Linked DNA regions of Cricetulus griseus. The protein of the gene in region 1 interacts with the protein of each later gene in a biochemical or structural test. Links are inferred from orthologs where the notes say so. Each region holds a gene or a part of one and is shown on either strand. Other genes may lie near its edges.

Region 1 (4,045 bases):
GAAACTCTTCAGCAGGAAAGAGAACTCTCTCGGCCATATGTTGGCCAAATCCGAAGGAATACAAGAGGAAACTGCTCCCCTATTTCATTTACTGAGCTACACAGCCAAGCGAATACACGGCGGCGCTCCCGCCGGCGTCCACATTTTTAATCAGGTCAGTTTACAAGGAGCCTTTAAAAGGTGCTCCAAAAGCGAGGTCCTGGGCGCAGATGGAACCCGTTTGTTTCGCCCGGGTGGGCGCGCGCCAGGGGGTCCGGGCCGAAGGGCAGGGGAAGGCGGCTGGGGAGGGGGCGGCGATCCGGACGGCGGCTCCCGCAGGCTTCGCCCGGCGCCCGCAACAAGTGGAGCAGAAGCTTCACCGGCTAATTAGCGCCGCCAGGACCCGCCCCGCGCGCCGGCCGGGGTCGAATCTGCAGCACCGGCGGAGCCGCGGGGCGGGGATTAGTTCGGATTCAAATTGAAAGCGGGACGGCCGCGCGTGGCCCAGCAGGTGCCTCGTGCCCGCGGCCCGCCGAGGGCGTTTCCGCCCCCACCTGCCCGCAGGGCCGGAAATTACCTCGGAGGGGAGCGGCCCCTCCATTGTCCGAGCCAACTGCGAGGGAAGATTTAAGAAAGTGCCGAGCGAGCGAGCGAGAGAGTGAGCGAGCGCCGGGGGCGCGGGGCTGTGGAGCGCTCCCTCGGTCCTCGTCGTCCTCGCTGTTAGCCGCCGTGCACGCTGCCCTTCTACGCTCCCGCCATGGGGACCCCGAACTGATCCGGGAAGGGGATAACGCGGAGGATGGGAGCATTTATCGGAAGACACACGACACGAGCACTTGACAGACTACACTCGGAGGTGAAGCTGCACTCGGGGACGAGGGTGGAGGGGAGCGCATGCGCCTTGCTCCTCCCAGGCGCGGGGGAGGAGGGGGACGGACGGACGGGGGAGGGAAACTGCGCGTGCGCGTAGCCTACGGAGGCAAGGCATGACTGGCAGGTCGCGGGCACCGGAGCTGCCGGAGGGGGCCTGGCAGCCTGAGCGCGCGTGCGCACAGGGGCGCGCGGGGGGGGGTGGAGCTCTTCCGAGGGGGCCGGCGGAGGGCAGCGCCGGCCTCGTGCGCCCCCTGGCGCGCGCCTCGGGAGAGGAAGGAACGGGAGGGTGCGGAGAGGAGGAGGGAGGAGGAGGAGGCGGTCGGGGCGGGAGGGGGAGGGGAGCGGGAGCGAGGGAGGGTTTATCGACCGGGCGATTTTGGTTAAAATATTCAAAATGGCGGACGGAGGAGCAGCGAGTCAAGATGAGAGTTCAGCCGCGGCGGCAGCAGCAGCAGGTAATCATTACAGCATTTTACATATTCATATTCATACTCAACCCCGGCTCCCGCTGCCCCCCCCGCGACTTAGCATAATTTATTAGTACTCAGGATTATTATAATTAACGGCGAGGAGATGGGGGGCCGGGGAACACGGACCCCTCCGGGCGCCCAGCGGAGGGGGAAAGGAGCTCGGGGCGGCCGGGCGGAGGGGGAAGAAGACCCGGGGCAAAGGGGGCTGTGAAAGCGCCACGCTCCTCCTGCCCCCGGCCCACCCCGCCGCCGCACCGGCCCGCCCGCCCGCCCGCCGGCACCGGCCCTCCTCCTCCTCCTCCTCCGCCGCCGCCGCCGGAGCGGCCGCCCCTCTCGCCCGGTGCCCGAATCGGAGCGGGTCCGCGGCGGGCGGCGGGGCCGGGACACCGGGAGAGGACAATAAAGACATTTTACATATTCATAGCTGCTGGGCTGGCGGGGCGCGGCGGGGCGCGGGCGGGAGACCCGGACGGGCGATCGGGCGGGCGGGCGGGCAGGGGGGGCGTGGAGGGGCCAGAGGTGGCGGCGAGCACAATGCCGGTGGGCGGCGAGGCCGGAGCGGACCCCGGCGGCCGGACACCCGCGGCGGCGCCCCAGGATTGGGAGCCGGCGCGGGCTCGGTCCGGGGGACGCTGCTCCGCCGCGGGGAGCATCGGGGGTGGCGCTCTGCCGCGGCCGCGCGGGGGTCCTCGTGGGGCCGAGCCCGGGGGTCACGGCCCGGGCCCCTCGGCCGCGCCCTGCCGGTGCCCCGGGCGGCGGCCTGACCCCAGCGGCTCCGCGTCCGTGATCAGGGGCTGCGTGGCATGGGCCCCGGGACGTGGCCTTCGGGCTCGGAGTCCGCTCCGGGGTCCTTCGGTCCCTTCGGAGGCTGGGCTGGGTGGGAGGAGCCCTCGGGGAAGTTCCCCCCCCCCCGTGGAAATGGCTTCGGTCGTCCGTGTGTCCCGGGCCCGCACCCAGAGGGCCCCGCGTGTCTGGAGAAACCCCGCTGTTGTGGGGTTGCGGGACAGTCTGGCTTTGGTCGCTCCTCCGCGCACGCCCCCACCCTCCCCACGCGAGGGTGGCATTGGGGACCCTCTCGCTCCGAGGCCCGGGAGCTCCTGGAGACCACCCGAGAACTCGACCGTAAAGGGTTGCCCTCCTGCCCTCAAAGGGCTGGCCGGACAAGTTGATCATATTCTAGATTTCTTCTGTCCTGCGGGGAGCGGGGGTGGTGGCCAGACACGGAGATTCCCCTCCCCTCCTGAGTGTGGTGGTGCCTTCTCGCTGCGTGCTGGGTCCTCTACTTGCTTCTCATTTGAATAATGTCTAATTCAGGGAGGTTTATATTCTTGAAATGGCCGCCTGGCTTTCCCCGCCTCTCATGTTTAGTAATTCAGACCTTTAATAACAGCCACTCACAGCCCAACGCCGTGTTTATATTTTACATTCGCCCCATGTGCTTTTGTGGTTCGATATGATTCTCTCTCTTTTTTTTTTTCTCCTCCTCCTTGGCAATCCACAAGGCTCTGAGATCAAACCCAGTCTGTGCTAGGAAGACAAGGAGAGAACTAGGCCTGGACTGCCCCAGTAGCTGCCTAGGCCTTGTTCTCTGCTGCTTGATTTATTTACTAATAACCAAAATGACTCCCCCACCAACTGCCACTTGAGTCCCCTCCTCCGCGGGCAGAACACATCCTCTTGGGACCTTCCAGCATTAAAAACAGCTCGAGCTGAGCATCAGCTCTGTAGTGGCTTGTTTTCGCCTAAAAGGAGTTTCTCTTGCAGTTTGCAGTAACGAGGACCTTATTTCCAATTTTCAGAGGCTTATGAGGGCTACTGGCTTAGTACAAATAGAGAACTTTGTTGTGGGCATAGTCTCCTTCTCCCCAAGTTAAACTCATTCGGGCTTTGTAAAGATTTGTAGTATTTGTAAAACCCGTAGATTTTTCCTTCCAGGAGCTGAGGAGCAGCTAGGTAGTTTAGAAAGTCCAGTTGACAACACTTGGGTTGTTTCTGCTTTTCCAGTTACTGCACTGACGCTCATGCTGTGCTACCACTGACACAAACCTGCTTATTTTAATCGGAGCAGCACCGAAAACAGAAATGGGGTTATGTTTTCTGTGAGTGTTGGTGTCATGGTTAAATGAGTGAAAATAGAAGATAAACACAGGCATTGTGTCTACCCTGATCTTGGAACTTACTCAGCATGCCCACCCCTTGCTTTAAGGTGTCAGAATTGATTTTGTTTTATCTAGACTTAAGACAATTGGCCTGTGAAAACCAATTAAGTTTTATTGTTGAGAGAAAACAATCATTTTGATTTCTGGTCTGTCCTGTAAGTGTTTTGTTTTTAAAAGGTGTTGCTTTCTAGGGCAAGTATACGAGGAGTCCTGTTGGTGTTAAGCCACTTCAGTTTAACTTGTAACAGCATTTCAGAGTTAGGGGACTCAGTGCAAATTCATTTAAAATAACTAGGTCTCACCATTTTCCCCTTTCACATCCAGTAGGTAAGCCCTGAATGAAGTGGGGGGGGGAGCTTTTCTGAGAATGCCCAGGTGAATAACCACTTCAGAGAGCTGAAGCATGAAGGTAGATGGACAAAAAGCAGTAATGATTTCATGCCTTAAATAGCATATGTTTTTGCACCCAGTTCCCAAGATGTGGTCAGACTGATGATGTCATTGGAGAGAGGACAAGGTGCAGTTAATGTGATTTATTGTCCTGAGGTGAAGTATAGCAATGGA
Region 2 (4,074 bases), on another chromosome or scaffold:
CTGGCCAAAGAACAACTTTCTTCCTGTTTGGAAAAAAGTATCAGCTAGTCTCCATAAATGAAAATGGTAAATTTGAAAACCTTGAGAACTTGACTCTAAGAAGAGCACCTGCAGCAGCATTTCCGTAAAGAATGTGAATAAGCCTGTGGCCTACCTGAGCTCAAGTTTCCCAGAAGACCTCAGCTATCTCAGGCCACCAAGACAAACAAGACTCTTCACATTAAAGTGTCAGCAAGTTTTCAGATTTTGTTTTCAGTAGAAGCTGGGACAAGTTCGTTAGCCCTAGGCTTGAAGTCCTATTGTTCAATTATTTGTTTTGGTTTTGCTACAAGTAAAGAGAGTGTTAGTTGTCTTTCTCCTTAATGAGCTCTATTTTCTTTTGGATAAAATTGAACACCAGCAGTGAAAGAAAACATTCAAAGTGGTTATGGGGTGGGGATTGATACCAGAACTGTCTTAAGTGATAGTATGGGTCATGTGACCTTCTCATCTAGGTGGCTTTCATCTTTCAAAGTGACCCCTGAGGTTCAACTAGTTATGAATTCAACCTTGAGCAGTCTGTCAATCTGGGACAGAAAGGCTCCTAGAGCTGTGAGGATGCCTGTTCTGTGGCTCCCTACGATGTAAATCCCAGTTTAACCTGCATATTACACCGTTTTTAGGGTAGAGCTCTTAACTGTTATCCAGTCTGTTGCTTGTCTGGGGACCCATGGGAAATCTCAATGTGTGAGGCAAGGCTCTTCTCTCAGAAAACACCTGATGGACATGGGCTCTTTTAAAGCTATTCTGAAAGACAAGTTACTGATGACTAGGACCTGGCTCCTGGCTCTTTAGTTGAGTGGGATGTGTATTGTGGTTTGCATGGGGTTATTAAATAAATAGGTGCTGATGGGTTTGCATATTTCCTTAGTGAGATTTTATTATGCCTTCATTGAGAAAACCCGAGTGCTTATTTAACTCAGAAGGAACCTGTGTTCTCTCAGCCTGGTGGAGCCTGAGTACTGATGCCACTGTGCATACAGGTAGCTATATAACCTGTTGGTTTCAAACTGTTGTGCTGTGGTGGAATGGCAGCCCCAGGATTCCTGCAGCAGGTCTGGGTGTGTGACAGGGGAAGTGAAATGCCCTCTGCCGACTGTTTATGCCTCTAGATCTTTTACTGCTCTTTTTGGAAAAAGGAAGCTCTCTCTTATGTCTGTGACCAAATGGGTGTGTTTTGCTATCAACTAGCCTTTTAAAACTTTTTTTTTCTTCCTGGAATACATTGGCAGTTTATGGGCAATAGTAAAGAAAGGCAGTATGGTGAACTCCTGTCCAAAGAGATTGCCAGAGGTTATGTTCAGATGGACTGGTTTTCCATTGTGATGGACTCTTCAGGCCTACAGACGCTCAAGGGCTCTTCACATCGCAGGAGGAAGGGTGAGGAACCATCTAGCTTTACTAGAAGGCTGCCCAGAGCTGCAGTTTGATTCGAGAATTATTAAACTCTCTATTTATCACTAGTCTGGATGCTCTTCTTCTCTGATGATACAGTATTATTTCCATTTCTACTTTATTCTCTTCACATACTATTTTAAAAACTGCTATTTTACATTATGTTAATATTTTGTTTAAAAAGTCCTGAACTATTTCAGTGCAGTTATTGCAAAGTTATGTCAGTTCAAGGACTCAGCAGCCCCAAGTTAAAGCAATGGTGACTTTGGACAAACTTCTTTTCTTCTTCCAAATTTCCATAGTGGGCTCCATTCTGGTGCTGGCAGCAGCTGAGGTCACAGTGTTTACTGGGGAATTATGCTGATTGTTACTTAATGTAGATTAGTGTGAAAGACCCCAACTGCAAGTTGTCAGTTTGCAAATATTCTTGTCTATTGAGCCTCCTGGGCAGACATCTTGATGCTTTGGCTTCTCATATTTCAAGGCGCTTTGCAGAGACACCTCAGAAGCAACCCCACTTCTGCCTGCTCAGGGAGCCAGTTACAGGATTCCTTGTCAGCTGTCTAAGGACACAGAGCTGTGGGAGTGTCCCAGCTGTACTAGACCAGTTCAAGAGAGGAAATAGCACCAGAGAGGGAATGGGACCTGGAGGCCTCTAGGCCCTTCCCCAGAATTGTACATGCAAATCAGAGGTCCATGGGTAACATTCCTGTCTGTGATCTGGACTGAGACGTATGCATAGTGTTCCCCAACTGAATTCAGGGTGTGACCATAGTACTTAGACCATCTCCTTCCTTTGGTCCAAAACCTCATTATTTTTTTCTGAGAGTACAGTATCTCAAGTTAGGCTCTGTGCCTGAGGAATGGAAGGAAACCTAAGAAGAGGTAGGCAGAGATTGAGTGACATGTCTGTGAAGAAAACTGTTGTGGTCATGAATGATCCTGAGAAGGGAGCAGCAGCAGCATGAAGCAGCGGCAGAGATGCCTTACTGTCGCTCATGGCAGTCCATACACACTTGTGTCTGTGTGTAGCACTCAACAGTATTCTGTGGACAGGGTGCACAAGCATTGCTGGTGCAGGAGTGCTGCACTCTGAAGGAAGATTTGAGGTTAAAAACATGTCACTGAGAAGTTAAAAACATGTCTCCATTTTACAGATAAGGAAATTGAGGCCTAGAGTCATTACATAAATCTGCGGATTTTCTACTAGTAAGTGACAGCCCATATTTGAACGCAGGTAGTTTTGGCTGTTAAGTCTGTTGTCATTGCTGTTTTGAACAATGATGAAGGTGGTTTCAGGGCACAAAATACTATGCTGGTTCTTACGCTCTTACGTCAGCCCAAACCTCTCATTTGTTACATTCATCTCACTGGTAGGTATTGTATTGCTTCTTTCCTCTGCTATACTTTACAACCCACATGTGCAGGGCCCACATCCACGTGTGTCCAGAAACTTTTTGGAAGAATGAGGATGGGAGTAGGGATTCCCTTTTATCACAGAGGACACTAACACGAGGATCATCTCTTACTGGGATGTTATGGAGCAGCTCTTGTGTTAACTAAGGGATGAAGTATCAGAGTCAGGTTTGAAGATGACCTCAGGCATTTTTATATAATTTATATATCTACATAATTTTTATATATCCAGACTCTTTGACTTAAGTGGATTGTCCAAACCATATTTCTGGGGAGCAAGATCCCAGGTATCTGTATTTTACATCAGTTTCCAGTAGATTTTGCACTGTGGTCAGTTAGGACACCATAGCATATATAGGTCTGATACCTAGTCTGAGAGCTGGGGTCCTGACACTAACGGTCTGCCTCCAAAGGTCATTCCCCTTTGCTTGCTGGCTCTGCATGGCTTCTTTGCCTCCTGTCCTTCAAGACCAGATCATGTTGGTGCTGGGAGCCTAAGAATCCCATGGGAGATCTTGGGCAGCATGAGGCACACATTGTTATCACTATCAGCTGGGTGTTTACTGAACAAAGTTCAGTTCAGGCTGCCCTGTGGATCCGGGTTGAACAGATACCCAGGCTTCCGGGCCTTTGATACAAAGCCTGGGTCCCTGGCCCCTTATCAGTGGAGGATAATGGGTTCCTTATGTGAGTCCCAGAGACCATTGCTTCTTGATCTTGGGTGACCTAGCTCTTGGCCTGCCCTCCATGGGCCTTTCCATCTGTATAGGTAGTTTGTTTCTGATCTCCCAGCAAGAGAAAATGCTATACCTTGGCTCTGGTTTTGTTGATACTTTAGATTCTTGGATTTTTTGACAAAAGGGAACAGAAACATTTTCCCAGTAGCAAGGTGGACACTCCACTCCAGGTCACATGAATCATCACTGGGTATTTGTCTCTTGTACTGAGGATCACCATGCACCTGGCAGACACTTTTTTTTTTCAGTCCATTAACCCTAAAGGTCCAGGAGAGTTGAAAGGATGATAAAAGGAAGTACATTTGAAAGCACCTCCCAGATGATTAGTTAACGTTCAGCCAAGACTAAGATATAGATAACTTAGGCATGTCTGCCACTTGAGAAGGCAGAGACAAGGCACAATAGATCAAGAAGCTTATAATCTCATTGGAAGCATTTTAAGCTCACATGAACAAGAAAAACTAATCATTACCTAGCAGGCCATAGA
Region 3 (4,026 bases), on another chromosome or scaffold:
TTCCTTTTTTGTCTGGAGAGGAGGTGCTTTCTTTGGGCAGCACCCACGATGTGCCTGTGGACTTTGGTAAGCCCCTCTGCCAGGGCCTCCACGCTGGATGTTGGTCTGGCAGGCACCAGCTGGGAGTGGAGGGAGGCGGGACTGCCGGTTGCCTGGCTTGGCTCAGGGACACAGTGCGCTTAGGGAGGCTGGCTTGGCTCTGCTCAGGTAGCTCACACCCAAATCCGAATTCCAGCCGCCCAAGACGGCGGGCGGGTTGCGGAGGAGGCCCAGGCTCTCTCTGGGTAGGAGTGCTTCCTTTCGTTTTAAAACAAACAAATCATGAATTTAAAAGTCAGGGCAGAGAGCTGCCCAAGGTATATAAATAGCCTGGGGCCACTGGGCGATGTCCGAAGCGGGCCGCAGCGCCTCTCGAACCCCGCACCTCAGAAGAGGGCTGGGGCCGTCGGGGTAACACCGGTACGCGGACGCCCCCCCCCCCCGCCCCGGGTCTGGCCTTCGGTCGGTCAGATACCATGGTTCTCTCTGGGCCTCCCGCGTGTAAGTGGGAGGGCACTGGGGCATCCCCCTGCCCAGCTGCTTGCCTCTGGCTCATCACCCCTCCCCGGCCTCAGTTTCCCCATGTGTCCCTTGGGGTGCACGGGGCCTCAGCTCTCCTTTAGGGAGCCCTGCCAGACCATGGTCCCCGAGCGACCACGGCTGGCCTCTTTGTGTGTCCGCGCAGACAATGGCCCGGCCGCTGAGCTCTCCTCTTGGCCCCGCTCTCCTCCTCCTCCACCACGGGCCGCGGGGATTTTGGGCAGCCGGGGAGGGAAGGCTGCTTCAGCCGGCCGCCCCGCCCTCCTCCCACGCCGCCGCCCCACGGCTCCCGGGAACCCCTGGCAGACGCAAACTTGCAAGTTTGCAGGACGCTCACAACTCGGGGCCGGGCGGCGAGCGCGGGGCGGCGGCGACAGCGGCGGGCGGGGCGCGCACCGGCTGCGGGCGGGGCGAGTGGCGGCGGCGGCGCTGCGCCGAGTCCGCGCCCGTCGCGGGCCCCCCGCCGCTCCCCCCCGCTGCAGGCCGGGCCGGAGCGGGTCGCGGCGCGCGGCGGAGGCGCGGGCGGCGGACACGCGCGCCGGGCGCGCGCAGGCACAAGTAGTTTACATTGTTGGGCGACTTTTGCAACAACTCGCCGCGCCGCGGCCTCCGCGCGCCGCCGCCGCCGCCGCTGCCCGCCGCCCCGCCGCCGGGCCGGGCCGGCCGGCCGGGGGCCGCTGCGCTGTCGCCCTGCTGCTCCGCCGCCAGCCGGGAAGTTAGTCGCAGACATGGACACCAAACATTTCCTGCCGCTCGGTGAGTGCCGGCCGCGGCGGCGCGGGCGAGGGAGGGGGCCGGGGCTGGCGGGGCGGGGGCGCGTGCGCAGCGCGCGTGGGGGGTCCGGCCAGGCCCGCTGGGCCCCGCGCTGTGGCGGTACCGAGAGTTGGCGCGCCGGGCCCGGGGAGGCGAGTGGGCACAGGGCAACTTTTCCCGGGCCCGGGCTCGCGGCGGGAGAGGGCGAGGGCACCGGGCCTCTGACTTGTCGGGGAGCGGGAGTGGGCGGCGGGGCTGGGGCGAGCGGCAGGTTCGCTCAAGACGTGGAGAGGGGTCCCTCACGGTGCGCGTAGCGCGTCCGCAGAACCCCGGGGCGCCCAGCCTCAGCCGCCCAGAATCCGGCCACGCCGGAGGAGCAACTTCTGCGCTTGCTGGAGGGCTCCGGGCCTCCTTGGCACTGGGATGGGGGCGACGCGCTGGGCTCCGGGAGGCCACTGCTCCTCCGGGCTCGTCGGGCTGCTGTTTGGAGCAGGCCGCTGGCCCCTGGGTGTCTGTTGGCCCAGACGGAGTCTGCGATCTTGCCGTTCCCCGACAGCAGCCCAAACCTAGGTGGGCATGGTCACCCAGGGGCCTCTGATGAGGAGCATCAAACCCAGAACTGGGGCCCCACGCTCTGGCACCCCTAGTTGTTCTCCCTGGTATTTAGGGGGGGAGAACAGCCCATAGGCAGAAGAGTCCGTTTTCTTGTCTTGCTGCCCTCCCGCCAGCAGCTCTCAGTGACCGTCAGCCTGCCAACTCCGGGAGTGGAACCCAGCAGGGTCGGAGCCCCCCAATCCATTGCTCTCGCAGGGATTTTGGGAGCCAGAGGGAAACAGTGTAGAGAGACTTTATAAATGAGCTCTGGGAAGGATATTAATTTGGTGGTGAGGACAGCAGCCAGGCTGTCAGGCTGATGAAGAATTTGTGCTGAATGGAAATCAGGACAGCTGATTATGGACGAAGCTCCATGATGATCAGTGCCTCTTTGCTTGGCCATCCCCTATGAAGCTTGGGGTGCAGTTTTGCTACCCCTAGGGGTGATCAGAACCCAGCATGGCTTCCAGGATTTTTGGTGATTTGGGGAGGTGGCACCCCCTTGGCCCCAGCCTTCTTACAGCTCCCAGACAGGTCTGCTGCAGAGTGACTTTGATAGAGTGTTCCAAGTTTGTCAAAGCTTCAGACACTTCGTCCTTATGAGCGGTGCTGAAGACCATGGGGGCTCAGCTGAGCTTGAGGGTCTGGCTCCCAGGGTGTAAACTCTGTCCATGTTGTAGTTGAGAAACTGGCTTGGAGAGGCCGCACTTAGAGACTGTAAATGGTGGATTTGGCGTTGGAGCCCCCTGCCAAAGTCCACTGACAAGAAAGCTGTATTACTGTGGCATGTTGCTGTGGGGCCTGATGTGGGGTTGGTGGGACCCCTGAGACACCTCTTTCTCCTCCACCCAAGCCTTTATGTGTTCAGAGCTGGGTCCTTAGGACAGGAATGCTTTGCTTAGTCTCTGGCCTGGATCATGGCTAGGGCCTGGCAATACTTTGCCTAGATCCAGGGATGGGAAACAACATGCCAGGAGGGACAGAGCCCATTCTAGAAGTTGACACATACAGTTGCAGGGTGACTGGGCTAGAGTCTTCAACAAGAGGAGTTGTGTCTTGGAGCTGTTGTCCCCCCACAAGGAGACCCAGAGTCTTGGGTTCACAGAGTGGTGGCTCTCAGGACCAGCTTGTGGCCTCCCAGGCAGCTTGTGCCCCAGGGCTGAGTGGTGAGTCCTGGGCTCTGAATACATTTTATTTTTTACTAAGCTTGTGACCAGCTCTGAAGTCCAGTGCAGTTGAAGGTCCATTTAAGCAGCTACTTGCCTAAGCCCTTTTGTCAACACAGCCTAATCCCTCCTGGGGGCTGAGTGTCAGAGGATCTGGCTCATCCAGGGTCCCCACTGACAACTTAGGTTTGACTTGAAGTGGCTGGGAAGATTTGGCCGTCCTTTTTTCACTACCCTGCCACTTTTGGGGTCTGAGACTGAGGGCTCTTCCCAGTGTGCACTGTGTGGGGTTTGGTGGTTCAGATAGCCTCTGAGCCTCTCTCCACTGAGTTGATCTGTATGGGACAGATCTGAGAAGAAAGGGAGGATGGGGAATTTGCCCCAGGCAGTCCCTGTTTCCTGGCTTTGCTGCCCAGGGCTGGAGTTGGGGAGTGGGGTAAGGGCTCAGCCTGGCCTCAGCTTGGATGGTGGGACTGTAAGGCTGAGCCTGCAGAGTCCAAAGGTCCCAAGCCTGCACTGACCCTCTCAGCTGTGTGGCTCATTTGTATGTGAGGGTAACAGGTTTCCAGAAGTGGGGCTCTAGGCCTCCAACCACCCTCTTGTGTGGTTCTTGGGGATCTAGTGAACTTGGGGCCTGTGTGAGGGGGCTTTTAGTAACATTGGAGCCCTTGTGACCCAAAATAGAGCACATTCCGGTCGTCCCGAAATAACAGGGTCACATGACTCTCAGGAGGCTGGGCTTGGAGTCCAGCTTGGGCCTGACGAGGCAGTTCACGGTTAGGCCCCCAGCTGCCTACTGATTTGGGCATTTGTTTTGGGAAACTCTGGAGGGGACTCTGTTGTTGACTGAGGAAGTGTTAGGGTGAGAAAAAGTGACCCCCTGTTGGTGGTCTGACTGTGGTAGTGGCCTTGTCTGCCTGTATTCTCTTTTGGG

The links.
Region 2: the proteins of Pou2f1 (region 1) and Pou2af1 are reported together in a solved structure, tested with the Homo sapiens proteins (2 studies listed by BioGRID, with this or other methods). The link is inferred for Cricetulus griseus from reciprocal best matches to the Homo sapiens genes POU2F1 and POU2AF1.
Region 3: the proteins of Pou2f1 (region 1) and Rxra form a complex in vitro, tested with the Homo sapiens proteins (2 studies listed by BioGRID). The link is inferred for Cricetulus griseus from reciprocal best matches to the Homo sapiens genes POU2F1 and RXRA.

What each region holds. Positions count from the first base shown.
Region 1 is NC_048598.1:26,467,863-26,471,907, forward strand, and holds the start of Pou2f1 (POU domain, class 2, transcription factor 1), read left to right. Parts: upstream 1-1,241; 5' UTR 1,242-1,246; coding exon 1,247-1,307; intron 1,308-4,045. UniProt on the Homo sapiens protein: Transcription factor that binds to the octamer motif (5'-ATTTGCAT-3') and activates the promoters of the genes for some small nuclear RNAs (snRNA) and of genes such as those for histone H2B and immunoglobulins.
Region 2 is NC_048597.1:162,976,970-162,981,043, forward strand, and holds the start of Pou2af1 (POU domain class 2-associating factor 1), read left to right. Parts: upstream 1-1,274; coding exon 1,275-1,419; intron 1,420-4,074. UniProt on the Homo sapiens protein: Transcriptional coactivator that specifically associates with either POU2F1/OCT1 or POU2F2/OCT2. It boosts the POU2F1/OCT1 mediated promoter activity and to a lesser extent, that of POU2F2/OCT2. It recognizes the POU domains of POU2F1/OCT1 and POU2F2/OCT2.
Region 3 is NC_048599.1:139,356,506-139,360,531, forward strand, and holds the start of Rxra (retinoic acid receptor RXR-alpha), read left to right. Parts: upstream 1-1,226; 5' UTR 1,227-1,307; coding exon 1,308-1,335; intron 1,336-4,026. UniProt on the Homo sapiens protein: Receptor for retinoic acid that acts as a transcription factor.